Linked DNA regions of Caenorhabditis elegans. The protein of the gene in region 2 purifies or fractionates together with the protein of the main gene of each other region. This does not show direct contact. Each region holds a gene or a part of one and is shown on either strand. Other genes may lie near its edges. The genes, in order: trp-1 and fnta-1.

Region 1 (7,906 bases), on a different chromosome or scaffold from region 2:
CGAGATCTTTAATTGTTAAATTTTTATAAATCATTTCTAAAATACTGCAAATAAGGAGTTTCAACTACACTACACTATTTTTAAAACTGAAAAAAGCGTAGAAGTTTTGAAAGAAAGTACTTTAGGAAAAACCTCGTCTCATCAGCCTCCTCGTCTGTTGAACTTGTTTCATCACTTTTATCATCTTCTTCTGATTCTTCTGCAACTGATGGTCGTGTCTTTGGAAGACGCATACTTCCACCGTAAGGTCGACGTGATGTTGTACTCATTGTACGCATAATATCTCGTTTCACTGCATCAATATGTGATGAGCTGCGAACGATTTCACGACGACGATCATCTCGGAGTTCGTATCTTTAACGTATTAATTAAATTATGATAATTTTTTGAGCAGGAAAAAGCTGGATATTTAATCTGATAATCTAAAAATACAGAATCGTTTTTACCTAAAAACCAAAACTTTTCTGTATTTCTAGATTTTCAGACTAGCGGGCCCTGCGGGCCCGCCGGTTGTAGGGGGTGTAAGGCGAGTCCCCTTGCCGGGCGTAGGCTCTCGGCTTCGCCTCGAACCTGTTAGAGGGTTCGTGAAAATTTCAGTAGGTGGGAGTCTTATTGATTTTTGAGTTCGGTTTGACCAAAAACAGATGCACCCGATGAATCAGTTAAAGCTGAGTTTTGATTGATTGAAGTTTGAGGAGGCTTTATATTAGGGGAGACGTACCCATATTTTGTATGAAATCGAGTATTTCTATTCGAATCCCGATTACTCACAAAAAAACAAAAAAATTTATCACTTGGTAGAATTGAACCAACTACCAAAATTTCTGCAGTCATTCGCACTAACCACTCGACCATGCAGGAGACACCTCAAACTGGGATGTAGGGAAGAAAATTTTCTGGAGGAAGTCGTCTTTCGATTCCGCTTTCTTCAATTATTACTATTTGGGGAAGACGTTCGAAAACCGTTTATTACTGATATGTCAGCGGGAAAACGAATTTTTGAAAATTTTATTACAGGATTGTACTCATTATTGATTTCCCAAAAAGGAGACGTACAGTTGAGGGCTATACCTCGTAAACCGGTCGATTTGTAGAAAAAAACAAGTTTTGGCCTGAAAATTAATAAAAATAATATCTCTTGGCAGAGTATTTCTAATGCGACGAAACTTCATCTTCCATTAAATAAAATCAAAAACTATGAATCAAAAATACATTCCGCAAAACTTTAGTGGAAAAAATGTTCAGGAGACCCAGGAAACCACTCCCCCCAATACTAAATTTTTGAATTATTGTTTTCTTGAAAAACTTTCCCACTGAACTTTTTACACATTTTATATGTCTCGATGCGTCTTGATGAGACCTACACGTCAATTTTTGGAAAACTAAGAAAACTTGAAAACTGACCGAGTTATGATTGAAAAAGTAGATTCGCGAAAATGGGAAAGTGTGCAAAATGTGGCACTTATTCGTCTTGCTCGGCCGACTCATAAAACTTTTCTTAATTCTGAGTTGAAAATCGTGTTCAGCGTACTTTTTTACGTGGGGTAGAAAAAAAAGTATCGAAAAAGATGAAGTAGAACTTGAGATAAAGACGAAAAACTACTTTTTCGGAAAAAAATTTTTTTTTGGCAAAATGTCATTTTTTGGCCTTTTGTTTTATCACAACTTTTTTCCTTTTGCACTTATAAACTCAAACTTTTTTTCAAAAAATCAGTCTCTCTGAGTAGTATCTTGCACATAAATTTGAAACAAAACCGAGCAAAACCCGAATTTTAATTCAATTAAAACATGCTTTTTTGGGGGTAAAAAGAGCAACAAAAAATTTTTTCAAACTGGGGAAAGCCGCCCTGGGCTCAATTTTGCTCCGAACTTAGTGCCGTTTTCTGCTCCACCGTGGGGCAAAATATTTCTAGTAGGATTTCAAATATTAGAGCATGAAGTCACACGGTTCAGGAGTTGTGAATGAAAACGTAGTGTGACATTTTTTCGCAAGCCAAAAAAAACGCGAAAAAACGCGAAAAAGGGGCGGAGTCTGTACACTCGGCATTTATTAGAGGCTGCTTGGCAGATTTTCAACTGCTATTTGGATGAAACGAAGATATTGTAGGATCTTGAAATTTTTCATATAAAAATTTTAAAATGGCTCACCTCAAACTACTAATGTCTTGTTTGATTTCATGTAGATCATCTTCATTAACTCCGTCCATTTTCATATCTTTCTTTGTTTGATGTATAAATCTTGCCACAAGTCTTGTAATTATATCAGCATATGTCAATGGTTTCAAAGAATCATCGTCGTGACCACCAGATTTTTCCATTTCATTTCTTTTTCGAGAATAGCCAGGACGCTGGAATAAGGGAAAAATAAGTAAAGATGAATGCTTTATATTTTCTTGGTAGTTCTGGTAAACGTCTTTGAAGATTATTGACCGTATTTCCTCGGTTTCACAGCTTCTATTAATTTTGCATCGAATTTGTTGTGGAGGCAGTTTTCATTTTCAAAATTCGAAAATCTTACCCTGATAGTTGCCCGATTCCTGTTTTTCTGATAAGTGTACTTTCCTAGAAGCCATCTGACAGTGTTGAATAGACAATTCATCACATATATTAATGACTTCGGAGTGACTATAATATTAAATGGAGGTGGAAGACTTGATCCTTCATCGAAGTGAGCCATCCAAAGCTTCGTTCGATGAAACTTCCATTCAAGATCCGCATGATCATTGATAATTTGAAACGAATGAGACATCATAGCAATGAGCATGTTAAGTAAGACAATTATTGAAGTACAATGATACATAATAAACATTCCTTGTCCAACCCATTGAGTTATTTTGTGATTTTCCACAACATCGGTATCTTCTGGTTTTGTAATCGAAAATAGAGACCAGAGAAGTGTCAAATAGGAATCGGCAATCGAGGAGAATACATTGGAACTGTGTTTGCATGTGGCACCAGGTAGGCATACATCTGTATTTGGATCATAGTACCAGTAGAGTTGAGCAAGGCCAATTGAGAAAGAACTTATTATTAGGACGAAGATGAAGCAGAACTTTGCAACGTCCACCAACATACATCCAAGGGATATCTGAAAATTGTCTTTTAATTGAAAGTGAGGCTCATTTTTGTTTTAACACAAAATAACTTGGCTTGAAAGGTGGAAAAATTTGTGCAAGACTGTGTTTAGGCTGAGTCCAAGTTTTATTTCAGTTTGCTCCAACTGGCCAAATTTGACCTTTTTAACTTTGCTGGCTGGGGGCTCGGTCTAAACCGAGTATTGCCCAACACTATCCCTTCTGCACAAAGTCAATTATTTATTGCTATATGCAAAATTTATTTACCTGCAGTGGCCCCAAATACGGATTTGTCTGGAACAAGTAAATAATTCGAGCAAACGAAAAAACATTTCCAACAGCGAACAACGCCTCCGCTACCAACATTGGTTCTTCAGATGTCCAATATGTGCGGACTGTGTACCGATATGGATCCTCACGATATGTAAAGATATAATACGCGCTTAGTCTGAAAATCAATTTTATATTTTGTATAGTTCTGATATATTATACCTTATTGAAATGGTGCATAAATAAAGGCAAATCATCAGGAAATCAAGCCAATTCCACCATTGTCTCATATATCGTTTAAAACCTTCTTCCCATAATTGCTTAATTTCTGACCATAACATTCCAATTACCCATGTGAATACGAGTGATTCAACCCATGTTGCTGGTGGACCACGGTCAGATGCTCTTGTCATTCCACCCTGGAAATATGATTTCCTATATAGAATTTTTTTGAGTTAATAATTTCAACTTCAGAAATGTTCCAAATTTCTTAAAACTAACCCTTTCTCCTTTTTCGTATCGATAATCTTCAAAAGTGGCCCACGTTAAAAGTCCTAAAAACGTTGCAAACGACACCGAGTAGTAAAAGAATTTCATGAATGGAGACCGTACTAACCGACCCAATCGGCTTTTTGGCATCTGAAATTATCTTTGTCAAAATTGAAAATTTTTCAAATACTCACTAGAATATACATGAGACAGAATATTGGCCAGAGAAAAAGTAGAAAAGCGTAGAGGAAAAAATTAGCCCAGGTACCACTCCGCTGCCGATATGGAATACCTTCATACCAGATAGAGGTGAGCAACTGTTGACAATGAGGATGAGAGACAAACTGAAAATTGATAAGTTTGATTAAGTTTAATAATATGTGTTCAGGGAATTTAGTTGAGCTGAAATAATAAATTATTTGTTGCACAATTTCAAAAAAAATAACTCACAGCTTTTTGTTCATATTTGATAGCCAGTTTTAACCTTGAAAGCGATAGTTTACTTGCCCAAACATCAATATTATCATCATTCACATTTCCATCCTTATTTAAAATTGCGATAACTTCTTCAGAACTTCGACATTGACTTAATAAATCACATGAATATTGTTTACATTGCTCCGAAAGTTGCAAATATGTCTCTTTGAATTCATGCTCCTCAAATGCCAATCGTTGTAGATCCCATGAAAGTTTGAAAGCGGATAGAATTGGATCGGGACTTGTAAGAGACATCCATGCAGGGCTTGCAAGAGCTCGAAATGTGTTGATTCGTTTTAGAGAGTACTGTAATGAGTCGTTCAAACGCTCACGATCGCATGTTTCGCAAATGCAGGAATGTCTGAAATGTTAGGATTGGTATTTCGACCCCAAATTTGTTTGTATTTTAAAAAATACCTGTGCGGTTTTTCAATACTTGCATCTTTTCGAATTAACATTTGCAAAATCTCAAATTGGTTGAGTTGTGCTGCCAATATAACCGGAGAAATATCACTTGAATATTCGGCACTAGCAGCTTCGGAAGGATCAAGAGCTTGACTCCAACCGTCTCCAAGCATTTCTCGAGTAATATTCGGATGATTTACAAGAACTTCGACAAGACGATATACACCTGGAATAATTATAAAAAATATTTTTTAAAAATGCTGTGGTTTACGGACCTTCTCGGATTGCACATAGCAGTGCATTGCCAATTCTGATATCTGGTTGTTGGAGCAAAAGTTCAACAACTTCCATATTTTCGTTGTCAACTGCAATTTCCAAAGCTGTTCTTCCCATTGAATCGAGGCAATTCACGTTGAGACGGCGGTCTCCGTCCTTCAATAATTTTAATTTCAAAAAAACAATGATTTGAAATAACTCACGTAATCCAAGCATTCTTGTAATGTGGGCTTGTTTCCAAGTTCTGCAGCTTCGAGGAACCTAAACAGATTATTAGACAATATGTAGTAACCATGTAATAATTGGGCGTGTTTTAAACTTTTTACACGACTTTTTCTCGAAAATAACCCATTATTATTGTTTATTATATATAAATATATTGAGGTCGTTTCGAGCAGCTTAAAGGTAAGCCCCTACGAGTAGCAGATTGTCTTTAGTTCAATTAATATATCTAACAAAACTACTTATGGTGCAATACCAATAGCTAAACTATGGTAAGTTTTAATATAAATGCTGAAAAAGCTCAAGATGAAAACACGTACGGAGAAATGTTTTTACTGGAAAAGTGCCCAACACTTTATAAAACAACAAACCTTCTTTCTTCTGGACTAATCATATCATTTGTCCGAATGTGAACAGCAGCCGGTGGTGGGATATTCGCCAAAGCGTAGTTCCTCCTTGGCCTTGGCGATGGAGCACATCGAGAGAATCGGCGTCCTGCTGCCGACAGCATCCTTCAATTTTAAACAAAATTATTCCATTTCCTGCTTTAAGGTGCCCCTAGAGTTTTTTTTTGTGTGTTTGTACTTTGGCAAAGTGAAGTAAAATCTACTTTGATAGAGTGGAAAGCAGGGAAAAAAGCTCCTCCTAATAAAATTGAATCGTTTGTGCTTTTCCGCCAAACTTTCTTGTTAAACGTTTGATGGCTAGTTGTTGGGGCAAATTGGAAAGAAACAACCGATAAAATCGTTTTGTTGTGGTCCCTCTATTACACCCCGCGCTTACGTAGTTCAGTCTAGAGCCCCCGCAAATGCTTAACATAGCCCCCTGATTCTTAAGTTATAGAGCACTCGAAAAACTTATTAACTCAAGTGGAGGGTCTCGTCTATATTTCCTTCTAAAAAGTTATGCGCACCGGACGCCATCCTCCATTCCAATCATTCCCTTCGTTGTTGTCGGCACGAATTGATAGAAGCTTCTTCTAGTCCTAGTGAGAAGAATAGAAGAAGCTGAACATTTTTAAAGCTTATACAAATTTACAAGTTTATCTGAGAGACAAAAATTGAAATTAAACAAAAACCTCTTCGTCAATTTTTTTTCGAAAAAAATGTTTAAAGTCGGTCAAAGGATAGAGGAAAGAAATTTTTATAGTTGTGTCAAAATCCCGTGAGGACAAATTTCTAACAGATGATGATGATTGTGAAGTGATGAGACATGGGAAATTAAATGGAAAATGAAAACACATGTGGAAACTTCGACGAAGAAACGAGAGGACGACTGAGTTGAGAAATAATAATTTTAGGATTATTCAAAATAGAGAAGGACAGTAATAGGTAGTTTGAAAACTGCAAGTATAATACTAATAAAAAATTGTATATGAAAGGTTTTTCAGAACAAAAAACCTTTATTTAGAAACTAAAACTACAGCCAAAAAAGGTCGATCGCACCGCGCTTCTCTTTTGTATTTTTTAAATACCAACTCAATTTAATCCCTTAACTTAGGTGGGGCATTGTATATTACTTTTTATATATGAACTTTGTAGGCCTTAAGCAAGTCTCGAAACCACTAAAAAATTTAAAAACTTCAATATTTCATCATGATGGGCTTTTATGAGGGTATTTCAATAAAAAACCTCACCGATGATACTCCAAAAAATGTCAGATAGATTTTTTCTATAAACCACAGACGGATCAGCTGTTGCCTCCAATTACCTACCCTTCTTTTGTCATTGCGAATATCGAATATCAAATTGCTCAGGCAGTAGACACATGTATAATACAAATAGGTTTTCAGCTTCTCGGAAAGACAAACAAATGAAAGAACGTCTACAAATCTCTGAGAAAATATTTGGAAGATTTCCCAACGGACCTGACATTTCTGAAAGTTCAAAAACATGGGACACGTGGTGGGGTCTTTGAGCTATGGATGACCAGGAGGGAAAATGTATTTTTTGTGAACATTTGTTTGTCTGGATAGTAAGAGGAGTTTGGTCATTGAAACAACTGTTGTCAATTGAGATGTTTTCTTTTTTAAAAAGTGTCTGTGATTTGACAACAAGGTGTTTACAATAAATCAGAGATCCTTTTCTCAAGCTATTTTTCACCTTTTTTCTACAAAATAGAGGGATGAATGGGATGAATTTTGATCAAACAGTTGTCAATAATAATTACTTTGCTTTTAAGCTTGAAAATGCATTTCCAGTGTAACTAATGAAAATGCTCCTACTTGAACTTCGAAAAAAATAATAAATCAACTATCCGTTTTTTTTTCATTTAAACAGCACGAGAAAAAAATTAACAATTTCCAGAGTTTGCTTCTAATTGTAAATGCAAAAATAGGTGGTAGACAGGAACTTAGCCCGACTCAAAAGAATTAGCCGAACACAAATTCAAGTAAACAACAGGCACACAATTTAAAACTGTTCGAAGAAGATGTTCATAAGCTTGAAATTCTCTAACCCAGTAGACACGGAAAGAGGTGGAAAGACTGAAGGAAAGTGTGTGAAAAATGCCCGAAGGGGGTGGATAAGAGTAGATGGGAATGGCTCAAAAAATCAGTGAGTGTGAAGATGATGATGAAGAGTGGAGAAAGAGGAACCACGGCGGTTGAATAAGAAGAATGATCTAAAAGAGAAAAGAAGAAAAACAGAAGAAAGAAGGAGAAGAAGCAGATGGAAAAGAAAAGGAAGATGTCG
Region 2 (4,963 bases):
TTCGATAGTTTTTCTACGTAAAAAAGGCTTGAAAACCATAGATTTCGTGTAAAACTAGTGTAAAACCTTTTTTTTAAAGATTTCCAGATGATCATAATTACGATTTTGGATAAAATAATTAATGTTTCAAAAGGAAATACTCACTTGCACTATATCGTACATCATAATTATAATTTCTCTGTTCAGGCGACTGCACAGCCAACGCTTCAATGGCCATAGTCAATCCACCAATTGGTGTAATATCAGTATTAGCCTCACTCGGGCGGCTCACAGTCTCAATGAGTTCTCCGAGCTCTTCTCGAGTCAAAAATCCGTCCGTCCACTGCGTATCCAACATCTTTCCCATGAAGTCCGCCAGGGCAAATCGAAGCTGTAGAGTGCCACGTGGATAGACGTCACTCAGAATTCTGTGCATTTCGAAGATTCCCTCAAGGCACCACGTCCAAATGGTTTTTTCGAATTGAAGTTTCTTCTGTTTTGGGCCTTCTCGAATTGTGACATCGAACGTTTCGTTACAGTTTTCCACGAATTTCGCGCTCCGATCCAGCAGAAAAACGGTTTTCATATCCCGTTGTTCCATCTTAATAATTTTATTTTTAAGAAATTTAGAATCGATTTTTTTTGAAGAATAAACAACGCTTTTCCCGAGAAAAATTAAATTCTGTCAGGGGTTCTTGTATCATCGAAATTTAAATTTGGAAAAGAAGAATAAATTTTTAATATTTCTCTCAGAAACAAAGAAAACTGGTAGCCGAAATGATGAATAAACAGTTGATTTCGAAATATTTCAATTATTTGCAATAATTCAAGAAAAAAAATTCAAAATCTACAGTACTCCAAACTTAAAGGCGCATGAAAGATATCGGAGTGCCGCTGTGCCTCGGAAATTTCCATTTTCTCTTGCCTTTCAACTAAAAAACGTGACAAAAGGTATAAAAATTAAGAATAAACTATAAAAAAAGCATCATTGAATAATAATTTAAAAAAAAATTTTTTAAATAAATAAGTAGGACGGCAAATTGTGGGAAATCATTGGGATATACTTACACAAAAACATATAAATACAAAAAAAACGTGGAATTCAGAAAGAATTACTTGGCAGTGACCTTCGTCTGTGCCTTGATGAGCATCGTTTGAGCAAGAAGACTCTGATGGCGGTAGTAGTTGACTCGAACCGGGTCGATCGATTGAAGATCCTTGTAGAGCTGGAAATTTCGGGAATTTGAGGCGTTTAGAGCGCAAATTCATTTAAAGCGAAAATGTGCACTTTTAATTAAAAAAAAGGAAATTTTTAGTTAAAAATTCTCCAATGTTATCCCATTTCTCATGAACTTTCTAGACTTACAAACCTTTTTAGCGCGCCCAGCGCTTTCTTCCGCAGACTTTTGGTTTTCAATATTTTCGAGCATCATATCGGCGATAAATGCAAGAAGGAATGGTGACCGTTTCTCTTCAGGAGTTGTCTCATACAAATCCTCCACAAAACTGACAACATCACTGTTCGAGGTTACTCCATTTGTGATGAGAAGCCCTGCGAGGTAGTTCCAGGCACTTTCGTTGTTCGGAATATTCTCAATGAACTTCTTGGCGAGGCTAGAAAAATTGAGAGGTTTTGTGTTCAAGTTTAATGGAAGATGTGCAACAACTATTTAGCCTCAAACAAACTCTTAGCCTCAACCAAACTCTTACAAGGAAAGGAAGTCAATCTATCTATGCTCCAGTGCATTTTTTCGCTGACTTCTATATCAAGTAAATGGCCTCAAAAGGGGTTCTGAGAGATTAGAAATTGTTTTTGGGGGTTTTTAGGGTCTAACAAACAATGTGGGAGCTTTTTGGAAATTTTTATTTTTTTGAAAAAAATCTGAAATTTTTTCGATCCATTGGACACCAAATTTTTGGTCAAAAATTTTTTTTTTTGAAAAAATTCCAAAACTATTTTTTTGTATCCGGGCATGCAAAAAGCTACATATTTCTTCGAATTGAGCCTTTTTACAATTTTTTACAATTTTTTACAAAGGGCCCGATTGCAGTTTTTAAAAGTTGAAGAAAAAAATTATTTCCACTGAAAGAATCGAACACGAGACCTTTATTTTATTATTCCAAGCGTTTACCATTCGGCCATCAACCGTTGTTTTTTATTGTTTTCCATGTTTGTAACCATTTCATAATGATTGAAAATCATTTTTTGTATAAGTAAAATGAATAAGTACGAAATAGTATTGAAAACTAGGAGGGCGCAGAGAAAAATTTTCAGATGGCGATTTCAGGGGTTCAGAGTTGAGTTCCGCCGCTGAAATTTTTGTGGTGATCTAGTCTAAACATAAGCTTTCAAATGACATACGTCTCAATTTAAAGTCCGATACTAGATTGACTTCCTTTCCTTGTTAGCCTCAACCAAACTCTTCAGCCTCAACCAAATTCTTAGCCTCAACCAAACGCTTAGCCTCAACCAAATTCTTAGCCTCAACCAAACTCTTAGCCTCAACCAAACTCTTAGCCTCACCCAAACTCTTCAGCCTCAACCAAAAATTTTTACTTTCAAAGTTATCTTCATGTTTGATTAATCAAATATTTGGACAGTTTTCAATTTTTAGGTAGTTTTCATCACTAAAAATCAGAAATTGAGAAGAATATTCTGGAATTTTCGGAGATTTTTAGTTTCTGAATCGCTTTCTACATCAGATAGATGTTTCTCCACTAAAAACGCTAATCGTGAACAAAAAATTGATCGCTGTTATATTTCCTTACTTGATCTCAATGTCAAGCTGGCTCGCATCCTCCGTCTTATCGTAGAGAGTCATCAGAAAATAGCGATAATTATACGCCGAATTGTTGCGATTATCGAGAAGAAGCATGTGAAGAGCAAATGTGAGCTCTTTCTCCAGTGGAACCTTGAAAGTCCGTACAACCCATTGACGGTGCTGCCACGCGTGATAGTTTTTGTTCTCGTCGCGGATGACTTCCGAGCAAAAATGAAGCTCATCGTTCACCGCACTTTCTCCAATCGTTTCGACGATGAAGCGACGGTGATGCCAGACTTGATAGTTTTTCGGTGATTCTTGAATAATATCGCTGAGATACCGCATCTCCTTCTTCAAATCCCATCCCAACTCGGTGAGACACACGCGGCGATACTGCCAAACTGTGTAATTCGCTGGATTAAGTCTAATGCAATCCTCGAGAAGTGCCATCACTCGATCCGACTTCTCGTTTTTTATTAGAATTGCACGGAAGTAGGCGAAAGCATCGGTGACTGCAAAATTAAAATTTGAATAATTATTAATTTGATCTCAAAATTTCTTACAGTCTTCCGTAACAGCGATCTTAACAGCAACTTCTTCCTCCTTACTCGGGTAGATCGGCGTAATATCCTTCCAATCTACGTTATCTTTGTAGAGAGTTGAAGATGGAATATCGCTGTCCGACATTTTCTCCGCCTGCAAGCTTATTTTTCGTTAATATTGGATTTTGAAGGGGAAAACATTAAATTTTGAATTTTTTCTAAATATTTTTCAATAAAAATTGAGCTGGAAACTGGAAAAAACGTCTTAAATGCTCGAACAACTCGGAAAAGAAAAAAAATGGATTTAAAGTTAAACGGTGCAAAGTGTCGTAATTTCCTGCGCACTCTCCGCAAACACTCCGGCTCTCATGTGGATTTACGGGCAGCCAACGCGATTTCTTTCTTATCGCCGATTTGCCTTTACTGTAGGAAATCATGGATTCTGATTATATATTTCATAATGGAGATGATATTCGCAATATGGGACTTGAAGAAATGCGTAAGTAATCTGCAATAATGTGAAAATTCATCGAAAAATCGTTCAGGACGTCAAAAGGTGCTGCTGGCCAGCGAGCTGAAGGCGATTGACGCCCAGATTAGTGATTTAGCATTCAATAATTATGGAACATATGCAGACGCTGGAAGAGCCACTCACGATTGCTCGAAAACTGTAATTTCACGAAAAAATCTATTTAAAGTCTAAACCCTAAATAATTTCAGTTCGGAGAAATGCGCGATAAAACTGTAAATCTGTCGGATCAAGCAGAGGAGTTGACTTCTGCGTTTGTAGAGTTTAGAGCAAAAGCTAAACAGCTTTCTGAAGAGCAGGATCTTGTCAGAAAAGCACTGGACAAGTCAAATCCGATCTGGGAGCTTTTGACGCTACCCTCGGTAATTCTACATCTACTTTTCTTTTTTCTTTGTAATTTTAAAACATTTTAGCGCATGGACATTTGCATTCGTGCAGGATACTATGATCTGGCTTACACATTGACCAATTATGGCTTGCAACTTCAACAACAGACTCAACTCTACCGGAATCCGCTGATAAAAGTCTGAAATCCCCAGGAAAACCTGTTAAAAACGTAAAAAATAATTCTAGAAAGTCGCGGACCACCTAGTCGAAGCTCGTGCTTATCTTTTGGAGGAACTTTTCAACAAATTCGCTGGGCCACTGGATCTTGCAGAATCCATCAAAGTTGTGAATAACGTTCGAAAGATGCCCTCATTGACAGCGAATCAGCTGAGAATCGCCGTTCTTCAGCACCGGGATATTTATCTGGAAAAACAGATTTTAGATATTTCAGTGAGAAATGCCAATCACAACATATTTAATACAATTTATTTCGTTTTTTTCAGGGAAATGTTGACATGATTGTGCAGGCGATCGAGATCTACCGTACCAGTATGTACGACACTCTCGTGCTTTATCTTGCAGTGTTTCCGGAAAACGAAGTTGTTCGAAAAAATGTAAGGGAATCAAATCGAAAAAATTTTGAGCAAAAAACAATAGCCAAGAATAATAAAACAATTTTATTTCACTTTTTTTTCAGCCGAATGCTGATCCGAGATGGGAATCATGGCCAGTTCTGCCACCAAACTCGATTCTGTCACAATGGGTTATTTCGAATGTCAAGAAAATGTTGGATCTTATCACAAAGGCGGATGTTAAGTGAGGAT

What was found.
Region 1: the proteins of fnta-1 (region 2) and trp-1 fractionate together in Caenorhabditis elegans (co-fractionation; one large-scale study listed by BioGRID). This does not show direct contact.

Annotation. Positions count from the first base shown.
Region 1 is NC_003281.10:8,534,166-8,542,071, reverse strand, and holds the start of trp-1 (Transient receptor ion channel domain-containing protein), read right to left. Parts: upstream 6,153-7,906; coding exon 6,127-6,152; intron 5,726-6,126; coding exon 5,585-5,725; intron 5,253-5,584; coding exon 5,195-5,252; intron 5,148-5,194; coding exon 4,991-5,147; intron 4,942-4,990; coding exon 4,728-4,941; intron 4,672-4,727; coding exon 4,284-4,671; intron 4,178-4,283; coding exon 4,028-4,177; intron 3,984-4,027; coding exon 3,846-3,983; intron 3,764-3,845; coding exon 3,567-3,763; intron 3,523-3,566; coding exon 3,342-3,522; intron 3,089-3,341; coding exon 2,519-3,088; intron 2,349-2,518; coding exon 2,149-2,348; intron 355-2,148; coding exon 133-354; intron 7-132; coding exon 1-6. UniProt on the Caenorhabditis elegans protein: Could mediate calcium entry and form a calcium permeant channel.
Region 2 is NC_003282.8:236,871-241,833, forward strand, and holds fnta-1 (Protein farnesyltransferase/geranylgeranyltransferase type-1 subunit alpha), read right to left. Parts: upstream 3,438-4,963; 5' UTR 3,429-3,437; coding exon 3,305-3,428; intron 3,254-3,304; coding exon 2,749-3,253; intron 1,594-2,748; coding exon 1,350-1,593; intron 1,206-1,349; coding exon 1,092-1,205; 3' UTR 721-1,091; downstream 1-720. Other genes in the region: ints-13 (Protein asunder), read right to left, coding at 145-580; cogc-8 (Conserved oligomeric Golgi complex subunit 8), read left to right, coding at 3,719-3,782, 3,829-3,953, 4,004-4,174, 4,226-4,336, 4,386-4,589, 4,643-4,753, 4,837-4,955.